Linked DNA regions of Oryctolagus cuniculus. The protein of the gene in region 2 binds, or shares a complex with, the protein of the main gene of each other region. Links are inferred from orthologs where the notes say so. Each region holds a gene or a part of one and is shown on either strand. Other genes may lie near its edges.

Evidence for each region. The genes of interacting proteins can lie anywhere in the genome.
Region 1: the proteins of WDPCP (region 2) and FUZ are in contact, whole or in part, in a cryo-EM structure (PDB 7Q3D), measured with the Homo sapiens proteins. The link is inferred for Oryctolagus cuniculus from reciprocal best matches to the Homo sapiens genes WDPCP and FUZ. Residues at the interface, in NP_056994.3 of Homo sapiens: Arg55, Ile57, Asn75, Lys78, Leu82, Glu418, Asp419, Arg420, Leu421; in NP_079405.2 of Homo sapiens: His293, Glu372, Glu373, Pro374, Arg379, Gln397, Pro399, Thr400, His401, Gly402, Ser405, Leu406.

The regions. Positions count from the first base shown.
Region 1 is NC_091449.1:7,739,505-7,744,437, forward strand, and holds the start of FUZ (protein fuzzy homolog), read left to right. Parts: upstream 1-1,897; 5' UTR 1,898-2,155; coding exon 2,156-2,266; intron 2,267-2,443; coding exon 2,444-2,565; intron 2,566-3,237; coding exon 3,238-3,322; intron 3,323-3,398; coding exon 3,399-3,467; intron 3,468-3,555; coding exon 3,556-3,660; intron 3,661-3,964; coding exon 3,965-4,162; intron 4,163-4,250; coding exon 4,251-4,346; intron 4,347-4,446; coding exon 4,447-4,553; intron 4,554-4,626; coding exon 4,627-4,691; intron 4,692-4,802; coding exon 4,803-4,877; intron 4,878-4,933. UniProt on the Homo sapiens protein: Probable planar cell polarity effector involved in cilium biogenesis. May regulate protein and membrane transport to the cilium.
Region 2 is NC_091433.1:139,485,200-139,489,460, reverse strand, and holds part of WDPCP (WD repeat-containing and planar cell polarity effector protein fritz homolog), read right to left. Parts: intron 2,388-4,261; coding exon 2,264-2,387; intron 1-2,263. UniProt on the Homo sapiens protein: Probable effector of the planar cell polarity signaling pathway which regulates the septin cytoskeleton in both ciliogenesis and collective cell movements.

The DNA of each region.
Region 1 (4,933 bases), on a different chromosome or scaffold from region 2:
GTCACTCCCCAGAGGGCCGCAGCGGCCACCCAAGCCGGGAGCCCGGACCTCACGGCTCTTACATTTCTTTTAACCTAGAGCCGCTGCCTTCCGCTTCAGGCCATGCGATCCGATATTTTACAGAATCTGCCGTGCAGGGGCCGGCGCACTGCTGTAGCGGGGAAGCATCCGACAGGCCGCCGGTTCGAGTCCCGGCTGCTCCTCTTCCGCTCCGGCTCCCTGCCGCGGCCTGGGAGAGCACAGAAGACGGCCCAGGTGCTTGGGCCCTGCACCCGCGTGGGACACCCACGTGGGCCCCGGCTCCGGGCAGCCACGCGCAGGGAGCCCTGCGGGGAGGATCCGGATCTCCGCCGCCATCACTCTGCCTTTCAAACCTTTTTTTTTTTTCATTAAAAAAGGATCTTACTTGACTGTAACTCTGCCAAAATAAATACGTATATAGTAACATTTCAATGGCAATCACTAAAATTAAAAGAGAAATAAGTGTATAAATTTGAAATCAGAATAAGAATGGATTGAGAAAAAAATATTTAATCCAGAAAAAAGAGATAAAAAGCACTTTAGAATCGGAACAGAGGAGTCATAATAAAGGAAGGCAAGGAAAATTCACTGAAGACAGGGCGAAATTGATAGTCTATTTTTCAAATTATTCTTTGCATGTTTATTTTTTTGACAGGCAGAGTTAGAGAGACAGAGAGAAAGGTCTTCCTTTGCTGTTGGTTCACCCTCCAATGCCCGCCGCGGCCGGCGCACCGCGCTGATCCGATGGCAGGAGCCAGGTGCTTCTCCTGGTCTCCCATGGGGTGCAGGGCCCAAGCACTTGGGCCATCCTCCACTGCACTCCCTGGCCACAGCAGAGAGCTGGCCTGGAAGAGGGGCAACCGGGACAGAATCCGGCGCCCCGACCGGGACTAGAACCCGGTGTGCCGGCGCCGCAGGCGGAGGATTAGCCTAGTGAGCCGCGGCCGGCCAGCATGTTTCTTCCTCGGAAGTCTGGGACCTGATGGAACTCCCGGCCCCGGCTGCTCCTGTCCAGTGCTGGCCGCGGCAGGCACTGGGGGAGTGGCTCAGTGCATGGACGATGCCCCCCCACCGCCTTTCAAATATAAATAAATCTGAAAAAAAAGAAAAAACCCACATGGGAATGAACCTAATAGGTCAGTACAGGATTGCTCAAATGTCGCGGCCATAAATAACTGTAAGAAGACGTTTAAAAGTGGGATTTTATAAGTCTTGGTGGAGAAAGGGAACGTGAGGACGCTAGTGCGCGATGGCCTGTGAAGGCACGCCCGCTACCGCTCTCAGGGAGAGCAGCGGGAGAGGTGTCTTCACCAGCCCGCTGGGTGTAAACTCATCAAAAACAGTGTGTTTCAAATTCTGCACAAGAAAGGATCTATTTTTCCCTCTTTCTACTAACAACAACAACCCTCCCACGTGGCAGTTACTAGGCAACGCTCGGTGGGCCCAGCCTCCCTCGGAGGTGGGAGGGTGTTTTCCTCAATTTCGCCCTAAGAGGCTGCTCGGACTCCACACGCGTCCATCTTTGAGCAGGACACAGCTGTACAGCTTCGGCAGGCGTGGTTGCTAGGCGACCGCGCGGCGCTGTCGCCATCTTTGAGTGGGGCACGGTGTTGCCTATTATGAAAATCTGGACGGAACGTGGTTGCTAGGCAACGGCTTGGGGACGTCGCCATCTTTGATGGGGCATAGCTTTTTTTTTTTTTTCCAAGTTAGAGAACTTAATTCATAATAGCCTGCAGGATGGTTGCTGGGCAATGCCTTGGCACTGCAACCATTTGAAGCCAGCCTCTCTGTTGCCCTCGTTAAATAAATGAAGTCAAACCTCTTCGGGAAGAGACTACAAAGTTTTGCAGAAACAGCCGCCATCTTTATTAGGGGCATTGTGACTTCCGGCTGGGGCGGAAGAGAACCTGACGGGGTTGGCCGAGGGCTCCGGGATGAATAGGGATTGAGGTTCTGAGTTGCGTTGGAGGCGGCCGGAATTTAGTCCTTCTCCCATCGGCTTCCCCTTTCGCCCTCTGGCGTCTCGAGACTGCAGGCCGACTTAGTCTAGTTACCGGCCGGCTCAGAGCAGCTCTGGCCGCCCCACGGAGGGCTGCAGGGCCCGGGCCGGGGTCCGCAGGGGCTGTTCCCCATGGGCGAGGAGGGCACTGGGGGCGCCCTGCATCTGCTGTGCCTCGCGGCCAACAGCGGGGTCCCGCTGTTCTGTCGGAGCAGCCGCGGCGGCGCCCCCGCCCGCCAGCAGGTGGGGCCTCGGGACCTCGCGGGAGCTGGGCTGAGGAGGCTCCGGGGGCGTTTAAGGTCCCGCTCAGCCTGGTTCCCCAAAAAGGATATGAAAGGAGGAGGGGGCGAGGCTGGGACACTGGGGCTTCACAGTGAGGAGACAGGGCGGGGTGTCCCTAACGCCCCCACCCGTCCTCAGCTCCCGTTCTCTGTCATCGGCTCCCTCAATGGAGTGCACATGTTCGGGCAGAACCTGGAGGTGCAGCTGAGCTCTGCAAGGACTGAGGACACGACCGTGGTGTGGAGAAGCTTCCATGACAGGTCTCCAGGCGGGCGCAGGGGACAGGGCCCGGGTGACAGCCCTGGGGGACAGGGCCCGGGTGACGTACCTGGGGGCCCTCCAGGCGGGCGCAGGGGACAGGGCCCGGGTGATGGCCCTGGGGGACAGGGCCCGGGGTACGGCCCTGGGGGCCCTCCAGGCGGGACGCAGCGGGACAGAGCCTGGGGGACGGCCCCTGGGGGCCCTCCAGGCGGGACGCAGCGGGACAGGGCCCGGGTGACCGCCCCTGGGGGCCTTCCACACGGGACTTGCAGCCAGGGTCTGGGTGACGGCCCCTGGGGGCCCTCCAGGTGGGGCCTTGCTGCTGAGACGGGGCCTGGGTGATGGCCCTGGGGGCCCTCCAGGCGGGACACAGCGGGACAGGGCCCGGGTGACGGCCCCTGGGGGACAGGGCCCGGGTGACCGCCCCTGGGGGCCTTCCACGCGGGACTTGCAGCCAGGGCCCGGGTGACCGCCCCTGGGGGCCTTCCACGCGGGACTTGCAGCCAGGGCCTGGGGGCGCCCCTGGGGGCCTGCGGCTCTTGCAGGCGAGCTGTTTGGCTGTGGGGACGCGCAAGCCCGTTGCCCCGCCCCGCCCGAGGGCAGGCCGGGCTGAGGGCGGAGGCAGCCGCCGCCCCGGGACGCGCGTCCATCTTCTCCCGCGCCCTCCGCAGCATCACTCTCATCGCGCTGTGCTCTGAGGACGGCGCCTCGGAGCTGCGGCTGGAGCGACTGCTCCACGTGGTGTTCGGGGCCATGGTGAGTCTCGCCAAGCCCCGCCCCCTCGTGCGTGGCTCCTCCCCCAGCCCTCCTCGGACACGCGTGGCTCCTCCAGGTGCTCCTGGTGGGGCTGGAAGAACTGACCAGCGTCCGCAACGTGGAGAGGCTCAAGAAGGAGCTGAGGGTGAGGGGCGCGGGGGCGCCTGTTCCTGAGGGGCTGTGGCACATCTCGGGGCCACCTGGGTCTCAGCCACCCCCCCCCCCCCCGCCAGGCCAGCTACTGCCTCATCGACAGCTTCCTGGGGCACTCGGAGCTCATCGGGGACCTGACCCAGTGTGTGGACTGCGTGGTCCCCCCGGAGGGCGCCCTCCTGCAGGTACGGAGGGGCTCGGGCTCGTCCCGGTGGGTCTGGCCCGGCCCCCTTCCCCCTGGGCCCCGTCCCCACCTGCTTCTACCTCTCGCCCTCACCTGGCCCCAGAAAAGCCTGTCTACACCCAGAGCTTGTCCTGCCGGCCGCTCAGCCCCAGGCCACACCGCAGCCCGGCCGCGCGCTCTCCCTCCCACCTGGCGAGGCCACACTGCGGCTCCGGGCAGGTGGGCCGACCCCTCAGCCTCAGTCCACGGCGCGCGCCGCGAGTCCCCGGAGCCCCCTGCCCACGAGTGCCCACGCCCTCCCCCAGGAAGCCCTGTCCGGCTTCGCCGAGGCCGCGGGCACGGCCTTCGCCTGTCTGCTGACGTCCGGCCGGGTGGTGGCGGCGACAGAGGGCTGGTGGCGGCTGGGGACGCCCGAGGCCGTGCTGCTGCCCTGGATGGTGGCGTCCCTGGCGCCGCAGGCCGCGCGAGACTACCCGGTGTACCTGCCCCACGGGAGTCCCACGGTGAGCGGGCGGGTGGGCGCCGGCGGGGCGGGGGGGGGGGCGGGGCGGGGGGCGGCGGCGGGGGCTGCCACGCTGGGCTCTGCTTCAGGTCCCGCACCGGCTCCTGACGCTGACGCTGCTGCCCGGCTTGGAGCTGTGTCTGCTCTGCGGGCCGCGCCCGGCGCTGGGCCAGCTGGACCCACAGGTGACCCCCTGCCCCACCCCGCGCGCGCCGGCCCCGCCCCCAGCTCCCCCTCCCCTCCCGGCCCCGCCCCCGCGCGCCCCTCTGACCGCGCCCCCTGCAGCTCCTGGACCGCTGGTGGCAGCCTCTGCTGGACCCGCTGCGCGCCTGCCTGCCCCTGGGCCGCCGGGCGCTGCCCGCCGGCTTCCCGCTGCACACGGACGTCCTCGGGTAGGGCGCGGCGCGGCGCGGCGGCGGGCGGGGCCCGCATCCCCGTCCCTGGCGTGACGCCCCCTCCCCACAGGCTGCTGCTGCTCCACCTGGACCTGAAGCGCTGCCTCTTCACCGTGGAGCCCTTGGCGGATGAAGGTGGCCAAGGGGAGGGGCGGGGGCGGGAGGAGGGGTAGGGGGCGGGGCGGGGCGGGGCGGGGCGGGGCGGGGCGGGCCCTCCCTCCCTCACCCTGCCGTCCCTCCCCCCAGACCCTCCCCCGGAGCAGCGCCGGCGCCTCCTCCGCAACTTCTACGCCCTGGTCACAGCCACGCACTTCCCGCCAGGTCAGTGCCGGGCAGGGCTGGCCCTGCAGGGGAGCAGGACACAGGGAGGTCCGTGC
Region 2 (4,261 bases):
TCTTTGAATCTGAAGGAAAGCTATCAGGTAATTTTTTATATTTGCTAAAGACTAAAACATAAAAAGATGTCCATGGAATTCCTCTACTGTCAAGACAAAACCAAAATTGTAAATAAAACATTTTAACAATCTTTAACTTAAAATTGCTTATGATGTGGGGCCAGCATTGTGGTAGAGCTGACTGAGCCACCATCTGGGACACCAGCATCCCATATCAGAGTGCTGGTTCCAATACAGGCTACTCCTTTTCCAATTCAGCCTCCTGCCTGGGAAGAGAGCTAAAGATGGCCCAAATACTTGGGCCCTGCACCCATGGGGAAATCAGGATGGAGCTCCTGGCTCTTGGCTTCAGCCTGGCTCCTAGCTTCAACATGGCTCTGACCTGGTTGCTGAGGCCATTTGAGGAGTGAACCCTTCCCCTTCCCCTTCCCCTCCCTCTCTCCCTTTCCCTCCCCCTCCTCCTCTTCTCTCTCTCTAGCTTTGCTTTTCAAATAAATAAATAAATGAGTTTTTAAATAATTCTTATCATGGTCTTTACTGTTTAGGATGATTATATCATCTAATAACTTTTTCAGATTATTAAAATAATCACTAGCCTAAAGACAATTCTAGCCTTCACAAATACAAAAGGACATTTGGCTTTTTTTTTATCACCCCCAGGCAGGAGAAATTCTGGCAGCAGATTAAACAAATGATTGATTTTAACTTAAGCTATCTCGTTTAATTTCTTCTTTCTAAAAAAAATTCTACTTATCTGAAAGGCAGTGTGACAGAGAGAGCAAGAGTGAGAGCATATGCATGAGACAGGGAGATCTTTCATCTGTTGGTTCACTCCCCAAAGGGCTGCAAGAGTCAGGATTGGGCCAGACTGAAGTCAGGAACCTAGAACTCCATCTGCATCTCCCATGTGGGTGGCAGAAGCTTAAGTGCTTGGCATCTTCCACTGCTTTCCTAGACAAATTAGCAGGGAGCTGGGTTAGAAGTGGAGCAGCTGTAACTTGAACCAGTGCGCATGTGGGATGTACCACAACACCATCTCCTCATTTTATTTCTTGTAAATTTACTTTTCTTTTTCATAATGCTATGTATAACCTACTAGCAAAAAAACTATTAAGGTGCTGATGTTGTGGTATAGTGGGTAAAGCCACCACCTGTAATGACAGCATCTCACGTGGGCACTGGTTCAAGTCCCAGCTGCTCTACTTCCAAAACAGATCTGTGCTAATATGTCTTAGAAAAGAAGCATAAGATAGCCCAAGGGTTTGACCCTTGCCACCCCCGTGGGAGACCCGGATAAAGCTCCTGGCTTCAACCCATCCCAGTGCCTGCCATAGCAGCCATCTTAGGAGTGAACCAGTGGATGAAACATCTCTGTCTCTCCCTCTTTCTGTTACTATGACTTTCAAAATAAATAAATCTTTTTTCCTTAAAACAAGAATAAACACTCATTGTAACTGAAATAGAAAGCACTCAAAAAGAGAAACATGACAAACTAGAAAACCCCAATGGAAAATATTCAATTCCAGATGAAAAGCTAGAATCTAATAATAGTCACATCATCAAAGTACATCCAATAACTAACTAGAAAACTGCATATGAGGACGGCCAATGAAGAAAAAAAATTGCACATTAGAATATGAGCTTCCAAGGGCCAATATAAGGGTTATAAAACATGATGCTTATAGAAAAATAACTTCATGAAATTAGAGAGGTTGGAGACAAAGTGAAGACACTACGTTACCTACAAAATGTCTTTTTCATTCATGTTCATTTTGGGAGCTCTACAGACACGATACAAATTCATTAATTATCCTCAGAAATAAAAAACATTAGATATGGTGAAGCTCCAACTTCCTACATTATATGAGAGGACAATGCACAAAATTTCTACAGTAATTCTGAAAGCAAAGGAAACCAATTACTGTCCCAGAGCTTTATCGCAATTCATACTTTTAGTTAAAAATGAAAATATTTCTCTAGTGCCAGGAATATATTTATACTGACTTTACATAGCTGGTATTTTGCTTTCATATTAAAGTAGAAGGTATATTAAGGAATACTGATAATGTAAAATCCTAAACAATAATCAAATATTTCCTTAATAGGAAAACTGAACAAAGAATACCAAGAAAAGTTTGTTTTTCTTCAAGAGTTAGACTATTAGTAAACAGTCATGTTATACAGAGTATGCTAATTAAAGAAGTTGACCCCTGAAATATGTAACTTTTAACACAACCTTAATCAATCCAAAAGTATCATTCACCTGAGCAAGTGATGGAAGAATCTCCTTGCATATTTGCTGATTTGGTCTCTATATTCCAAAACAGTTGAATCCAGAAGTGGTCTTGTTGGAGCATAGAAGGTTCCAAGGCTTGCCTCAAGCTGTGCTGTGGAATTCAAACATAGCAGCGTTAAAACAAGTGAAACTCCTTCAATTACAACAGAATACTCATGTTTGCAGTCAGTCAGGTTTTGCAAACTTGGATGAAATGTGAGCTTGTTGCAGGAAAGACGAAATTAAAATATGACAGCTGGTACAAAAACAAACCTATGTATAAACTTTCACTTGAGGCAAAGCTGACAATGACTCTGAGCAACAAAAAGCTGTCAAAACTGAAGAAATCCATAATGAACCAACCTCTCACCACAAATGGGTAATTAAAACAGTGACTCATCAAAGTAACACAGTTTGAACTAGTATTTCCAGTAAAAGCAACTCACAGTGTGCTCAACATTTACTATCTTTAGCTGAAAGGAGATAACTAACCTTTTTCACACTGGAAATTGCAATCAGTATAGTAGAAATGTTTCTAAAAATAATTCAAATTAAAAAATGGTCTAATTGTAGGAAGAACAACTGTCACAATTTTAAAAGAACAGTGGAGTCCCTAGATCTTCCTCTCTAAATACTACCCTAAATAAGATTCTTGGTTTTGTCCAGGGGTGAAAGTTAACACCCCAAAGAGGGAGAGAAAAGGACTGGAGAGCAAGTTTTGATAAACCAGAGGACTAGAGAATAGGAAAGAAGGCACATTTTATCTACTTCACAATGTTATCAGACATGCCTATGAAGATGTGCCTCTTCCCAGCAATACCTGAAAGTTAAGCAATTACCATAATGGTGAGAGTAGGAGTATGTATGGGAACACCACAGCAGCTCACAGTAAGACTCTTCAGATTCTTATGCTACCAGCACTGGGTTGAATAAACAATTCTTTATTTAGCAAAACTCTTCAGGTTTAGGCATATTTGGGTTTGAAAGTATTAAATACCTCATCAGAGTAATTGCTATGCAGTTGGCAAAGCTGTTGGTAATTTCGTTTTAAATCTCAAATCTAGACAGTAAAGTAAGATGAACTTTAGGGGTATTTTCTTTCAAAGCAGCAGTCAATTTAGATTAAAATTGAATACAGCAAAGCTATTGTGAAAACAAGCCAGATTCTCTTGCCATTGCTTGTTTTCTTGACAGCATGTTTCGTATATCTGAAATGTTCGAACCTACATGGAATACACATAACTCCCAGCACAGTTACAGATTCATTAGATAGCCCAGCTTGATGTTTAAGGCAGAAATGAAGATCTCAAAGATAACCACAACACAGCTACAAATAAAAGCTCACTGGGTTCCACTAATAAAAGGAAAACAAATTACCATGTCAAATTTGTTAGATTCAGACAGAATAAATCTCAACAGAAAAGAATTCTGAATGTTTTAGAAATGTGTTTTTGCAGTTACTTGGGGGGAAATGCACATATCTACTTAAAATGCACATATTCTGATAACCCAGCATCACAAAAGCATTTTATTTTAATAGCCTAGTATCATACAAGCTTTTTATTTTGCTATCTCCCCAATATGGTCCTTTGAAAATATTCTTTATTAAGGCAAGAATCTGATAATGTCCATTTGTTTATTCCCTAATAATCTTTGTTACAACACAGTAATCTTACAACAAAAATTCACTAAGGTGCTAGTGATTTCTCAGGGTCCTGACAGTCAACATTTTATCTTTTCCATAATTCTTCTTGAATTGTAAATGAAAGATATCTTATATAGATTGCATGAATCATAATGGGTTTTCTTTAGGGATGTTCCCAATTTTGACAATGTATTAATACTAAAAAATAATTATCTGAGACAACTCTTTAAGCAGAAATATTACAATAATACCTTGTTACCTAAAATCTTGGTGTTATAAATTTTTAAGATTTACTCATTTATTTATTTATTTGAAAGGCAGAGTTACAGAGAGGCAGAGGC